Linked DNA regions of Drosophila melanogaster. The protein of the gene in region 3 interacts with the protein of the main gene of each other region in a pairwise test. Each region holds a gene or a part of one and is shown on either strand. Other genes may lie near its edges.

What was found. The genes of interacting proteins can lie anywhere in the genome.
Region 1: the proteins of elB (region 3) and CG7548 interact in a two-hybrid assay, tested with the Drosophila melanogaster proteins (one large-scale study listed by BioGRID).
Region 2: the proteins of elB (region 3) and CG14563 interact in a two-hybrid assay, tested with the Drosophila melanogaster proteins (one large-scale study listed by BioGRID).

What each region holds. Positions count from the first base shown.
Region 1 is NT_037436.4:7,504,497-7,509,011, forward strand, and holds CG7548 (uncharacterized protein), read right to left. Parts: upstream 1,722-4,515; 5' UTR 1,706-1,721; coding exon 1,112-1,705; 3' UTR 1,044-1,111; downstream 1-1,043.
Region 2 is NT_037436.4:21,840,765-21,844,847, forward strand, and holds CG14563 (uncharacterized protein), read right to left. Parts: upstream 1,623-4,083; 5' UTR 1,592-1,622; coding exon 1,294-1,591; intron 1,214-1,293; coding exon 1,143-1,213; 3' UTR 1,044-1,142; downstream 1-1,043.
Region 3 is NT_033779.5:14,405,807-14,412,225, forward strand, and holds the start of elB (elbow B), read right to left. Parts: upstream 3,744-6,419; 5' UTR 2,631-3,743; coding exon 2,562-2,630; intron 1-2,561. UniProt on the Drosophila melanogaster protein: May negatively regulate Notch-induced cell proliferation in the eye-head primordium. May act in leg and wing primordia to negatively regulate body-wall specifying genes and thereby promote appendage formation. Required for tracheal development.

The sequences.
Region 1 (4,515 bases), on a different chromosome or scaffold from region 3:
GCTGTGGAAAGTGGGAAAACTTTAGCCGCAACAGCTAAATAAAAACAACAACTAACGGCTCGGCCTTTCTTCGTCTCCTTTGCATTTTGTTAGCTGTTTCAACTTTTCAGCCAACAAATTTACTAGCCCTGGTCGGGCAAATATTTTATCATTGCGCCTTTTAGCACTCAAGTGGCGGACAGAAGTGGTGGCTCAAAAAGGGGGAATGACAGGAGGTCCTGCAGGATGCCGGACTAAGCGGAGTTTATGGCTTCATTTTTCGCAACTTTGTGCCTTTTGCTCGGTTTTTCAATTCGGAAATTCGCTCCAGAAGTTGCTGGCCCTGTTCTGGTAATCATTTTGGCCATTACTTTGATGGCCAGCTAATGAAGCTATCATTTAAATAGGCTATGGAAAAAAGAGGAGCACACAAATTGGTTATTGACTCCGGGCATTCATAAGTTTTCGATTTGCTTCCGGCTGCGTATGGAGTTTTCCTTTTTCTTTTGCAAAATTAATGAGGCAGCAAAAATCTGATTTCAATTTCCCGATTACAGTTGTCAATGTGCATAATTTACGAGGATGGGCAGAATCTTATTAGTTCATAAGCCATGCCACTTCATGGTCCTTCGCCCTTTCAAATGCTCCTGGCTCCTTTGGTTGCCATTCCAGTCACGTAGCTTTCATGTCCGATTTTTAAGTTTGCGCTGCACAAATCACGTAAGCCCTCTGCATCCTTCTGCCCTAGGATCTAAGGATCACGGACTGGTGTAAGGACCAGAGCTAATGTCCTACTTGGGGCTATTTGTAGGGTGCACTTTGTGTGGATTTTTATGATTTGTTTACGCTGCCTCCGAACGTGAGTGATAAACAGGGAATAAACCACACGATGTACAAGAAAACCAATGCAAATGCTGCGTACATGATGCAAATATGGTTATGCAAGAACATTATATAACAAGCTGTTAACAACTATTAACTGCAGAGCTTAACTAAATAAAAAATTAAATCGAATAAGAAACAATGTCCAGTTTTTATAAGTATTTAAAAACATTTAAGGTTTTAGTTCAACAATTTATTTAACAAGCATACACAAGCTATTCTTTATAATCTTAACTTAAGTATTGATCACTTAAAATCCGTAGTGGGTACCGAAACCATCGAAGCTCATGTGGGAGACGGTCTCCGCCGGAGAATAGTGGATGACAGCAGGCTGGTGGCTGTAGTGGGCGTTCTGTTGGTAAACAGAAGGTGCCTCCACATGACCAGGTTGGTGGTAGCTCTGCACCTGAGCGGGCTGATGGTAAACCGATGGAGTCTGGACATGAGCAGCCTGCTGGTAAACCGATGGAGTCTGGACATGAGCATCCTGCTGGTAAACTGGCGATGCCTGAGTAAACAGATTTTTTGGTTCCTGATGAGCCTGGTGCGTGTAAACCGGAGCTGGAGCTGTAGCATAACTGAAGGTCTTGGCCACCGCCGGCTGGTAGACATTGTTGCTGATCCGCGTGTCCTGCTTGTGGACCTGCGAGTAGGGCGTGGCCAGCGACTTGGCGTAGTGGGAGACGGTGCCATCGAAGCTCCTTACTACATTCTGTTGGGTGTGGGCCACCGCGTGCTCATTGCCAGCATAGGTGATGGTCGGCTGAGCAATCAGACCTGCCCAGGTGGGAGCCAGGAGTAGAAGCAAGCTGGAGGCAACGCTGAGGAACTGGAAGTAAGCCATGTCGATTGGAGCAATTGGAACAACTGTGCTGGATAACTCGGTGGTTGGGCCATATATAGAAGACCTGACCAGCGCAATGCCAATTACTCATAATCGGGCGTACAGCTCAAACTCGTTTCAGCTTTGCCGTCTGGCTTTGCGTGACTTTCAGAAATCCATTTCTCTATCCCTCGATCGTGGCAAATCAATTTACAATTGCCCAGCTCCAAGTGACAGCCACAAAAGTCGGTGTGGGTGAGCCTATCAGCCGGAGAAGGCAATGGAGAAGGGCGTGTCGTCGACCCAGTTTATAAAGCCCAAGACTTTGGCCCATAGACATTGCATAATGCCCGGAATAAGGTAAGGTCTGTGCACTTGCCGCACTTGCTCCACATTTCGCGGTGATGGCAACTTACAATTGTCCGCTGAAGGGCCATCAAGTGGCCAAAACATATTGCGGCCAGCGCGATTTATTGCCCATCGGAGATGCATTAACGCCGCTGCCAAATTGTTAATGCATTTCAGTTCCAACCGCTCTTCAAGCATCTCAATCTGAGTGTTACGCTTCCACATGAATATATGCATCTTAATGTGGATAGTTGTATCATCCGAAGTGGTAATAGTTGCAGCAAAGGAACCATCACTGTTTTAAACGTATGAAAATAACATATCCATCCCATGACTTAAATTTTGCAGATATGAATATATCAAAAATATATCTAATATCAACTATTAAACCTCCAAATGCATCACTTCTTAAAAGTTCCATTGATTTTCGATCGAACTGCGCCTCACTTCCGCTTTATACTTAGTTCCCTGTTTCCGTTTCCGTTTCTGTTTCTCTCTCAACGGACTGACACTCCAGTCAACTTGAAGTTGCCTCATTGATGCGATGCCGCTCTTTGATTCTTTGGATGGTCCGTGAAATCGTTCAACTCACAATTGAGTCATAATGCAATTGGCAAACGTCAAGCAAATGTTGTTAACTTGCCAAACGACACAGAGAATGGGAAGATGGATGGATGGAATGGATGGACTGAACTGAATGGAGAGACCGGATATCCGATGGGCAAGTGTTGGAGACATTGTTGCCATCAAAAGCGGAGGAAAACTTTTGCGCAATGAAAATGACACACACTGGCAAATAGCATCAACATCTCGGCGCCAAATGTGATTACGGTAACAGCGATTGCTGACCAACTTGAGAAAGTCACCTTTGTTGGTCCCACTCGATACACATATCTTTATTGTGCAGATTATTTGGGAGATTTGGGGGGAGAGTGTGTGCTTGTATGTCCATTATGGTCCTTATGAAATTCGGCACATAAATTGTATTATTGCATTTATGCTTGATTTTATTTCGCAGCCCAACTTTCGACTCTGCTTTTCTTTGCTGATTGTGTTTGAGTGTCGAATTGGCTTTCGCATTACTTGTTTTTTTCCTTTTTTTTTGAGTTTCGTTTTGGCCTTAAGTGGATTCGTCTTCGTTTACGTCTGCATTGTCGTCTGACTGAACTTAACGTTTTATTGAACCGACAGGAATCACATGTGAGTGCTTACATTTCAACGGTTTCCTTTGCCATTTCAACTCATGCGCCAACGCAATTTGAACTTCAATTAGCTGCATTTGGCCATGGCTAATAAACGCCGCCATTCTCGTCGCTCCTCGTGCTGATATACAATTACAAATGACGCGTCAGGGCCAGGCCGAAAGTCAATTACCAGGGAGCACGGTGGGAAATGATCTTCCCTCTAACCTATTTTGGATGAATGAAATAGTACGTAGATTTTTTTGAAATTAAAAAAAAAAATTTCAATAAGTCTGCTGCTTGAAAGTGGGAGCAATAAAAAGTACGCCATTATACTGCTCAATAAAGAAAAACCTACATTAAGCACCAAACCATATGTATAAGTAGCCATTTAAAACACTAGAGTATTTAATTCATGATACGAATTTATTTTAGCACTTAACCTAATACCAAAAAGGAAATTTTTCTCTGTGCACTCGAAAGCGAAAAGAAGGAATAGTAACATAAAAGCCCGCGCCTCGCTGGCTAATTGGAATTGAAACATAAATTAAGCGTCCAATTCGGAGGCGAAGACGGCAGAATGCAACTAAAACTTTACGACTTCTTCACTTTGGCCAATTGCGAGTTCGACTTCCGCATTCACATGCCGTTCTGCACTTTTACGTTTTGTCGTAATCCCCGCCAATTACGATACTAGCCACTAGTCACCCACTACACACACTCCTCTGTTGGCCAAGTTTTGTAGTTCTTACCGCTGGTGTTGCATCCACATTGACAGCTTAGATTAAGTGTTGACCATAAATTGGCACGGTTAGTTGGCGCTTGTATTTATGAGGCCAGTGCAGTTGCCATTTAGCAGGTCGAATTTATATACTGGCAATTACAAGTGGTTGTTCATTTGTTTAAAGATTTAATGTGTATATTTGTAATAAACATAAATTTCTTCAGTACATTGGTGATATTTAGGTACATATTTTGATAAGCACTTGTTTGAACAAATTTCTATATTATAAATTACGAGAGAAATAAAATATTAACCACAAAACTCTGTTGAATCTGAACTACTGGCACACGGGTTAAATTCCGCCATGAATGCTAAGGTTCCTTGGTGTTATATTGCCAATCAGCTGCGGAAACCACCCCACCCACTCGCACACCAAGGCCAGTCTCATTTTCCCCCACACCGCATGCTCCTTGGCCATCCGTAGTTTATGGCACAAAGGGGACTTGGCTTCAATTTTCTTTATATTACAGCTTGATTTAATTTGACGTGAGACTTGCTCTGGGGCCCTGTTCTTGACC
Region 2 (4,083 bases), on a different chromosome or scaffold from region 3:
ATAGAGATGGCTGATAGAGTGGGAGAGGAAGAGTGCGGGAGAAAGGTGGCGAATATGTGGAACAAGCTCTTTTAACGTAAGCATACTTTGGCTATTTGTCTTCCTCTTTCCACTCACTGCTTGTTAAGTGCTTAATAATATGTAACGATGAACTAAAGACATTGATATTAATGCGAAAGGAGAGGAAGTTTATGGAAACGCAGGGAGCGGGAACACCGAGAAATTGCCTTTGGAGGCCAAATGTAAAACAAATTTATTTACTGCTCAGCTGTAGATACACAAGCACACACACAGGCGCAATAGAATGCAGTCGGTTGGCTTTGTTTTTTTGCTTTTCTTATTGGCCCCAATTACGCAATACAATGTTTTTATGCCGCCTATTGGCCTCCGCCTTTTAAGTCGCCGTCCATCCCATTTGAACCTGCAATTCGACTATTCGGCGCTTTTCCACTGATTTCGGGCTTACTTTGTGTGAGTTTCAGGCGACGGCGGCGGAATTCGGCGAGAGCACGAAGTGTGGTGTGCCTTTGTTTTGTGTTTTGCGAGACTATTGGTCGGTCGGTCGAATTTGGACTTGGCTAACGGCCGGGAACTATCGGCAGACCGATACAATTTTGCCCCCCTTACTATCGTGCACCTTACAACACTGTCCATAGCTATCGATAAGGCGCCAAGAATGCACATGGATCAAACTTTGTCGATTTGTTATCACGAAGCAAAAAATATTTTTCGGTATATGGTTATATATGGGATCACAGCCTCAAGGCTTTTTTATAACTATTAAAACGACCAGATATGCGTACGTAGTTATTGACTCAAAGCTAAAAGCTGAGAAAAGGATCTAATGATCCCACAAAGAGTCATGGCAGCATAAACTTGGCGGAACATACATAGGGTCAAATGTGCTAAAAGACATACAAATTATCACATCAGTTCCGGGAGCTAATAAAATTATGGTGGTATACATGAAGGCACTAGTTAGGTGTACAATTTTTTACCAGGTACACTAGTTTTGGACACGTCATAAGAATAAGTCTTGACTTATAGAACATAAATATCATATTTATTAGCACTAACACACTTATGGGGTAGGATGACTTAACCGTATACCTATCACTAAACTATATCAGGTTTCGCGCTTCCTAGCCGTAGTATCCGCTTCCACCCGCACTGGCTGTTGCGAATCCTCCACTGCTGCTGGCGTAGGCCACGTCTAGAGGAAGAAACAGGTCCAAAACACTTGTAGATTACTTGTGTGCTAGGCACCGAGGTGCTATCAGTCGGGAAACTCACTCATGCCATTGCCGCCGTAGGGATATCCTCCATAGGGGTATCCGTACTGCCCGTATCCACCGTACATCGAGTACGGGTTGTAGCCGGGATACGAGTAGTACGGATATCCGCCGTAGCTGTAGGGGTATCCGTACATGCCGCTGCCGTATATGTTCCCGTATCCCGATCCCGCTCCCGCATTAGCGCCGCCGTAATAGGGATAACCGTAGTATTGGCTCGCGGATGGCTGCAGGAAAATGGCGACCAGGAGCAAACCGAACCAACAACATGGAGAGCGGCTCGACTGTTTCACTGACATGATTTTTCTGGCCATGTTTATCGTGTGTAATCCTCGAACGTTGACTGAATGCAAAAACCCCGGCATTAACTGATTTTATAGAGTTTGCCGCCGAATGTTTGCAATTTTAAAGCATAAAACGCTTTTTTAATGGAGCTTAATCGGGCGCCCATCAGCGGCTGCTCGGTTTGCTCGTTCGTGCGTAACCCAGCCGGCGTATACGCAATATTTTTAAATCCCAATATAAACGCTCTGCAAACGTATGTATTTAGTGCAAGTTAACAACAAGAGAACAAAACAAAACAAAACTATTTGGCTCTTTTTTGCCTATCGCCGCGATTACTCATCCCACATCTCGTCTGATTTGTGATTGCCGTTTTGCTATCAATTTAAATTAGTCAGTCAGCCGCTTTTTTTGCCAGGGGTTCACATTTATTCTGCGTAAACACAGTCATTAACCTTAAAATTGGTTGATGGTCCGCCTAGTCATGTGCGATGCCAGTGGTGCTTTCCACTTCTTTGAGGTTCATTGCCGACCTGGACCGTGGTCAATGCTCATTCACGCCCTTCGGATGAGGTCAACCGTAATAACTCCGATTCTGATAATTGGAATCGTATTGGTTTTCGGATTTTCCACTGCGATCAGCTTGGTCGTTGGCCGAGAGTTCAGTTTGAGGGACTTTTGGCTACAGAATTTTGGCCTTGGTGGTCATGCATCGACGCTGAAACTATTCCACAATGCGAATCTGTCGGTTTGGAAAGTGATACTTGAGAACTGCATAATGGAAAGTTCAATGTACTTATAGATTAATTTATTCTTCTTGGCTATGAAAGTAGGCTTACAACTTAGTAATTTAGTGATGTTAGATACGGTGGGTTTACACATCTCGCATAGTAAATAAGCTTTTAAAAATGTGAAAAACGCAAGTCGTGGGCAATTGCAAGGAATTGTTCTCAATACACTTTGTAGCTCTTGCATATGTGCCCGAAAAGTATACAACATGCCATTCATAAATATTTAAGGCCTTTCCCGTACCCAACTCATTCGTGTTCGTGTAGGTGTGTGTCATTACACTGGCCAACAATGCAAAATGTCACAATTGGAATTGTCCCGCCTTTGGGTTCCCATGCAGCTGACGTTTGCCTTCCGCCGCCCGCTCACTCACTCTCTCTCTCTCTCACTCTCTCTGCCGGGGTGGTTTCTGACTCTCTCTTCTTTGCCGCACTACTCCAGGTAGCTCAGGTAGGTTTGAGCCTCGTAGGTGTTGCATTCCCGCTGACCTCCAGTAGTTGAGTGAGTTGCTCCGGCCGGATGCCGACTACGCATGCTCAAGCCTGGATGTGCACGGATTTCGGGACACCCTATATTAAAGTAGCCTCAGTTGTTTGAGCCGAGTGACTTGCTCATAAATTCGGCTTGGTAATTTGTGTACTATTTAAAAGGGTTTCATAAAAAGATTGTAATTGAGATCTTGTGCAAATAAATTAAGCTTAAAACTATTATCAAATAATAATATATTTTACAATGACCCAAAATAATATTACATATAATGCATAGTGAACACGCCTTATATTCTTAAAAAAAATGTGTGTCTGTAAGTTTTATTTATAAGAAGGAAATTATGGTTATATTACGACTTTGAAATTCTATCTCTCGACATTAAAAATGCCTCCTTGAAAGTTAACATTCTAGAAAGGGTACGCTTCCCCAGTCCCCAATTTAAGGACTTAATTTTCCAAACCCCAAACGAGCAATTTTCATATTAAAAAGTTTGTCTATGCCGAGCCTAACTCCCGTCCCCACTTTCCGATGGAAAAATTGAAAGCTATCCCTTACAAAACTTCTACAAACTTTTCATTCATTTACCCTCATACTTTCGCATCATATTTGGGACAGTAAAATGCTAATTGTTTGTCCGAAACGAAAGAAACCTCCTTGTAGCCATCAATTTTTCAGCATTCTTACGTGTAATTAATTAAAAATTTGATGCAGCAGCAACTTTTGTTTGCTGTCGAAATTACAGCAGCAACAAAAAGCTAATTAAAACTTAAAATCATATAGGAGTGCAACTGGAGCCGTGCCGTGACCCACAGAGATCGCCCACTCGAGAGTCTCACTCACTGGCAGGAGAAACTCACTCAAAGCGCCGAATTGCAACTGAAGTGTTACGCATACGCCGCGTGGGACCGAGCGAGATGCCATCCTGCTGTGAGTGAAAGCCGGTCGAAAAAATAAAGAAAAAATCAATTAAAATGCACTCGAGTGCACCGCGCTTCTGCACTCATTTTTTGGGTTTAGCAAATTTGTAAGAAATTTTTAAACGAAAATAAGCGAGGCAGAGAGTGCTTTCTCCCTTTCTCGCCATATCTACATCTCGCTTGCTCCTTCCCTTTCGCTGCGTGTGTGTGTGTGCGTGACTGTGTGTGTGAGAGGCGGGGGGATATTTCGATTCAGTTATTTGTGCAATTTCGCTCAGTCAAGTTGTGTGTTCCTTGTGCAGTGTGTGCGCCTG
Region 3 (6,419 bases):
GAGTACAAAAAATTAACATGACAGCTCTAGACATGGCAATTTATCACCGGCATAACACGTTGGAGCAACTCTGCTCGACTCATTTGTTGTAGCCTGTAGCCAGGCATTTCAGCTGTTGATGACACTTTAATTAGAGCCACACGCAAGCACAAAGCCCAAAGAATGGCCCATTGGGGGCGAAAATTCGCAGGGGAAAGGCCTGAGACGGAGCCGTTATGTCAAGCGCACACTTTAACTGCCAGATCCGACCAGTTGTGTTGGGTTTATTTGGTGGCCCAAACCAAACCAAACCAAACCAAACCGTACGCTGCCAAGCAGCCTGTGGTTAACTGAAATGAACGTCGGACTGCATAAATGGCCGCTTGACTGACACATTTAATTATATTAATGATGTTTGCGGTCAGCTGACATTTGCACTTTATTTACCTTTTTCTGCTGCTCTGTCAGTTTAACTGTCTGTCTGTCCGACTGACTGACTGACTGACTGGTCTTGAGCTCATGTTAAGCTCTGACATGAGCCCGCGCAAACTGGAACCGAAGCTGACTTTCACGTTCACGTTCACATTTCAGATTTCAGATTTTGAATTATTGCCCAACAGATAGCTCAGCAACGGTCGCATTTATTTCCATTTTGCGACGCCGCTGCCTTCTTCGGTCAAAAAGTTTTGTAATTTTTCAACGTGTGACAGCAAATTATCAACAGTCACTTTGAAGATCTCTCTCTTTCGGTTTCTGTGTTTCTGTGTATGTCGCTGCTTTTATGGGGCGCCACATAAAAGATATACAAATGATGACACTGACAGCTGTCAGGCTTAGTTTATTTGATTTTATTATAATTAATTATAAGCAGCTGCCATTAATCATTGAATAATTTATAAGTTCGCAGATAGTATCGCAGATAAAGCACAAAAGAAGAAGGTTAGTCAGTCACCGGCAGACACGTAAACATAAATTAACTCAAAGTGCCGCGCGTAAGCTCTTAAGTCTCTAAAGAAAAACGTATTAGCAAGAATATTTGTTCATTACAGTACTAATAGAACGTCATAAATAATTAGTGCGAGTATACTAATAGAACGTCATAATTTACTGATCGACAGAATTTGAGATTACATCTCGTTGCTTAAAGACGCAACACTTAAATTTTAATGAAACCCAGATTCACAGAATCTGTCAGTCACTTGGCACCGGAACCAGTTCATCATTGGGCCTCGTATGCATATACGATCCGTTGATTTATGGGTTTTGCCTCATTTGCGCCACTGAAAAGCTTTCACACGACCAATATGGAAATGGCTGGGCTCTACTCTCCGAAATCAGTAAATCACGTAGCTCCGAAAACGCTATTTCAAATTACCCAGTTAATGAATGTACTCATCGTGCTGGTGCCATAAACTGCTTCCGTTCTTTACGAACAAAATGCGCTCAACAAATTAAAATGAAAATTTATGAGTCTCACGCCATTTCGAAGAGAGATAGTTTTGGATAAAGTGAGTGGGGGAAATGGGGACCACAACAACTTTGACTCTGATTAACTGCCATAGTTCCTCGAACTACGGTCGTGTGTGTGTGTGTGTGTGCCGGTGTGTGTAAGTGTGCGAAATTGCATTTGTTTTCTGTCATTATAAATTCAAATTTGGCGCGCCATAAATTTAGATACAATTTCCAGAGGTGCACTCGACTCTCTAAACACTTTCAGACGGAGGCAACTGGGCTGCAGATTTACATAGTTTAATATGAACAAACATAAATAAGTTTTATGTGCAGATATTGGAGAATTTATCGTTTTACGATTGTGAATTCGCTATTTGCCTCTTCCCAGACCCCGCAAAACAGTTCCGTTTTGCCAGCACATGGCCCAAAGTCTTCTGGAAGTTTGGAGGAGGTTGTTCGTTTCGGATTGGTGCCGTAGTTTCATACATATTTCGCCAGTGGCGAGTGCTTACAGTCGACATTTTTATTATATATGAAATATGGCTCGACAATCTATTTCAGATGTCTGAAATGTCGATAGTTTGTTATTCATAGCTGCAAGTTTTATAATCGAACGTAGCGAATTGGGTGTTATTGCTAGAATTTGTACTACTCTTCTTATCCTGTTTAAACCATGACTATTCTGGCATTTTTCTTATTCATATTTTGATATATATAGAACTTAACCCTTAACAAGATTTGTTCTACTTAACGATCGGAACACCAAAGTGAAATAATAATCTCTGAAGAGAGTGTGAAGAATGCGAAAACAAATAATACGAAATTTACGTCTTCTTATCAACATTTAAGAATATTATTAAATTTTAAGACCAATCAATATTTGAAATAATAGTTTTAATGACTTTTAACCGAAACTGTTCATCAGATACCTATCCCTTTCAATTAATATTTTATCCCATATTAGATAGCTAAACCAACTCACTGAAAAAGAAATCGCAATAATCACTGAGCTGTATTAGGCGATAAGCGCTAAGTCCATATAAACGCAATAAATTTCTGATTGCCGAATAAAATACCTTGTGAGAATTATCCCCAAAAACCCCAAAAATGAGACAAAGAGATGGGCTTACCGCTGTTGGGGCAGCTGCAGCTGTCATATAATCCGGTCTTAAATAATGATGATTGCTGGATTGCAGCATTTTATTATAATTTGTTAAATCCACTTTGACGGCTTTTCTTTGGTGGTTCGGTGGAGGTGTTGAGTGGTTGTTGCTTTTGTCCCGACCGCAAAGTACGGCAGTGCGCTTAACGGTAAGTGCCAATTTATGTGGCGTGTGCTGCCAACTCGTGTGAAAAGCGGCGCCTGCGCCTTGCTTGAAATATTTTCCAGCTGCCTGACTTTTCGCTGATTAAGCCGTCCACGTTTCGCGGTTCTCGTTGATGTGAGTACTTATTTATGATAATTTATTATTGTGTTTATTTTTTATTTTTCCTCTTTTTATTATTTATTCCGATTTCGATTCGCAATCGTTATTGCTGATGCTTGCTGGGCTTTGTTTGTAATTCGATTTCATTAATAATTCAGTGCTGTGGCGCAGGGGGGATTTCTCATGCGTCGAGTTGTGACTTTCACGCCAGCGGCATATTAATTTGTTGTTGTGATATGCTGGCTTCGCTTTAATTGTGCAATAAATTCATTAAGTATTATAATTGCCTCAGCGGTATTTATTATTTATATGTGTACACGATACATATGTGTGTAAAAAAGAATTTACACACTACTTTCTTTGCTGGCTTGCATCTACAATATTTACGTTTGATTCACGCATGGGCTTTTACAATGTATTCATTTATGGGTTTTCCTTTTGTTAGATATACATAGGTATGTATGTACTTTATTTATTTCTTTGGCTTGGCCGTTTTTGGTTAGTGGTTTCGCTCGAATGCCTCGTTGAGGGCGCGTTTTATGATGAGGCACGTACGTTATTAGATGGTTCCGGGAACGTGGGGTTATCCAAAAGTTTGCTATTTACTGAGCTAATTTTGTTTCACATGTATACTTTGTTTTAAACTCAGTCTAATTTTGATAAAGCACAAGGATCACTCGAAAACGACTTAAAAAATAGGCGATTGTGTTGACTTTCTCGTATATATTTTGAAAATTTTTTTTTTTTTGCGTTTGGGGGAAGTGCATATGTATCCGCCTGGCCGATTTTACGCTTTCGCACTCACAACACAACACTCCGGTCGTAGCAGTCCGTCCGTTCAGCGCACGTACGAACTTTAAACGTGAAATAACGAAATTCGACTAAAAATCTATAAACAACATGACGTGCACGCTCCTTTTCGCTCTTTTCGTATCACCCCCACTCTCCAATCGGCTCTCTCAGTAGTTTCGCGCTCGCTTGAAAACCAGTTCGCTCTTTGTTGTTTGTGGCCGTTTTCGTTTTCAACAAGTGTGCTTTTGTTGTTGTCCGAGGCCATGCGCTCCCCTTTTTCTTAGGGCGCGAGAGCGAAAGAGCGAAGTAGTTGGGGCACGAGAGCAAACGTTTTTAGTTCTGCGCTCTTTGCTGAGCGCGCATGCTTTTTGCTGAGGCAGCGAATTTCGCGTGGGAGCTGAGAGCCAAAAAGCGTAGTAGAATTGGCGGTTAGTAGTAGACGGATACTATGTGACGGAGAAGCAGTGTTGACGATGGGAAGTAACGGAAATTTCTGGATATTTTTGAAAATGTATATTTCCGCTTTAAATTTGATAAATAAAATGAAGGGTAATCACGGTACCCGGTTGTTTAAGAAACATTTTTTTATATTATACTTATGTACCAAGAATTATAAGGATTTTTTAATATTATTAAATAAAATCTTAAACATTTATTATACACATAGTAGGGAAAGATTTTTGGAAATTTGTAATTCTGAGCACAAGTAAGTTCACACTTAGATCAAGCAATAAGTTTTAAATATTGCGTATACGCCCAGTTGGAAAGTTTTTCTTTGCGCGCTATCATTGAGTACAAAGCTAAAAAATTCTAGAAATGTGTAAATAAAATATTGGAAATTAAAAATAGAGCCAACACAACACACACAACGCTGGGCACACCGACACCAACACGCTCATTGGACGATCGCCGCTTCTGTGTAGCCATTTTGGGTAATTTTGTTGCTGTTGTTGTTGTTTCACAGTGTTTTGTGGGGAATTTATTTCCACACATGTGTGTGCAGCCATGGCGCCTGTGTGCGTGTGGAGAGCGGAACGGCGTCGGCCATAATTGTTTACGAGCAGGTGGGCGTGTGTGTGGCGCTCGTTGGTGTGCCAGTGTGAGAGTGTGTGTGAGGAGGGGTTGGGGAATGTGTTAAAAACTGCAAGCCGAGGAAATATGATTTAGAGCACCAAACGAGAGAACCATTTCCGTGGAGAGAACACGATTTGGTGTATTTCCCTCACTTCGCAGAGAGAGTTTTCCCCACTGTAAACAGAAAACAGCTGGCGAAAATGAAAATCTCGGGTTGCACATGATGACGGGAAATGTCTGAGACGAACTTATCCCTCATTTTGCACACTGAAATCAATTTTAGTTTCTCACTTAGATGCTATAAATGCAATAAGAATGGAATGTTCGAAAGTAATATCGTAACATCTTTAACATTAAAAAATGTTAATAAAAAAAAAACAAATTTGTAATTCAAGTTTGCCGATTAAATTTCTCTTAATGCTTAATATGTACATATGCAGTTTAATATCTAAATCATAGCTCCCACGTTAGGGCAATTTAAGAAATCAAATATAGGAGTCATAATCTCTGGTTAAATTGCTCTATTGGGTCCGCATCATCGTAAAAAGCAAAAATGGTCGTAAAAACACAACCAAGACCACGCAATTGGTTAAATATTCAAAAGGCGAAATGCTGCTCTAACTTTATGGCATTAAAATGTTTAGGATTTGAAAGAGAAATACACAATTATACTAATCGTGGCGCTTTGAATTAACAATCAATAATTTACATATTTCGGCCATATATTGACAGCTGCCACTGCTGCTCCACGCCTTCTTGGAGCATTTTTGGTGATGCTCTCATAAAATGCCCCCGTCCATTGTGGATTTTTGTCGTGTTCATTAAGAAGCTTTTGAAAGTTTCGCCTTTCAAAAACCATAAAATGTTTATTTAGATGCCACTTTAATGGCGGACAGAGTCAAACGTTTTATAGCTTCCTTTTGTTTCACAATATGGTTTTAGTTTCGTTTTCGGACTTAATAGACTCATTTCTGGTTTAACACAAAACAATCGAGTTTCAATTAACCACACAAAAAGTATATGTCGTTTTCGCTCTCTGGGTAAACCACAAAATTAAGTGGCTAACAGTATTTTGTGGCCACAACACATTACAAACCACACAAGCGAACTGAAAAAAGGGAAATTATAATAGAGAGCCGGGTTTGCCCATATCCTTTTTTTTTTTCGTACGCGTTTGTCTGCCGCGCCCAAGCGAATATCCCCAACAGACAAATAAGCGGGGGTGCGTTTTTCACGGTGCGGGGGTCGTTTCCGTTTCGGGCTTTTGTTAGCATTTTAGCAGTTCATTTATGCGGCTTACAGGACGAGGAGGCGGCACATGTGACCGGAAAAGCCCTTTTAGTAACACAAAATGGTCACCAAAGTGGTTGAGTGCTTGTTAGTTTGCGGGATGTCTCGGGAATAATTTGAGATGTGACAATGGGCTTGGAAAAACTTCCTCATTACTATTTGACTATATATTTACTAGTCTTTCAAAAGGTATCTATAAGTATGCAATGTTTTGCTTCAAATAAAAACCCCATCGCTTTTGTAGAACTCGCTATACTAAATGTGTAAGCATTTGTTTTATTAAAACGTTTAAAAGTAGTTCATCAATATTAATGTATTTCTTTGTTGAAAGCAATAATAATAAACTAAAATGCATATGTAATTATCCGCAGTGCTGCCATTTGTATGCTGTACCCTCTTAAGAGA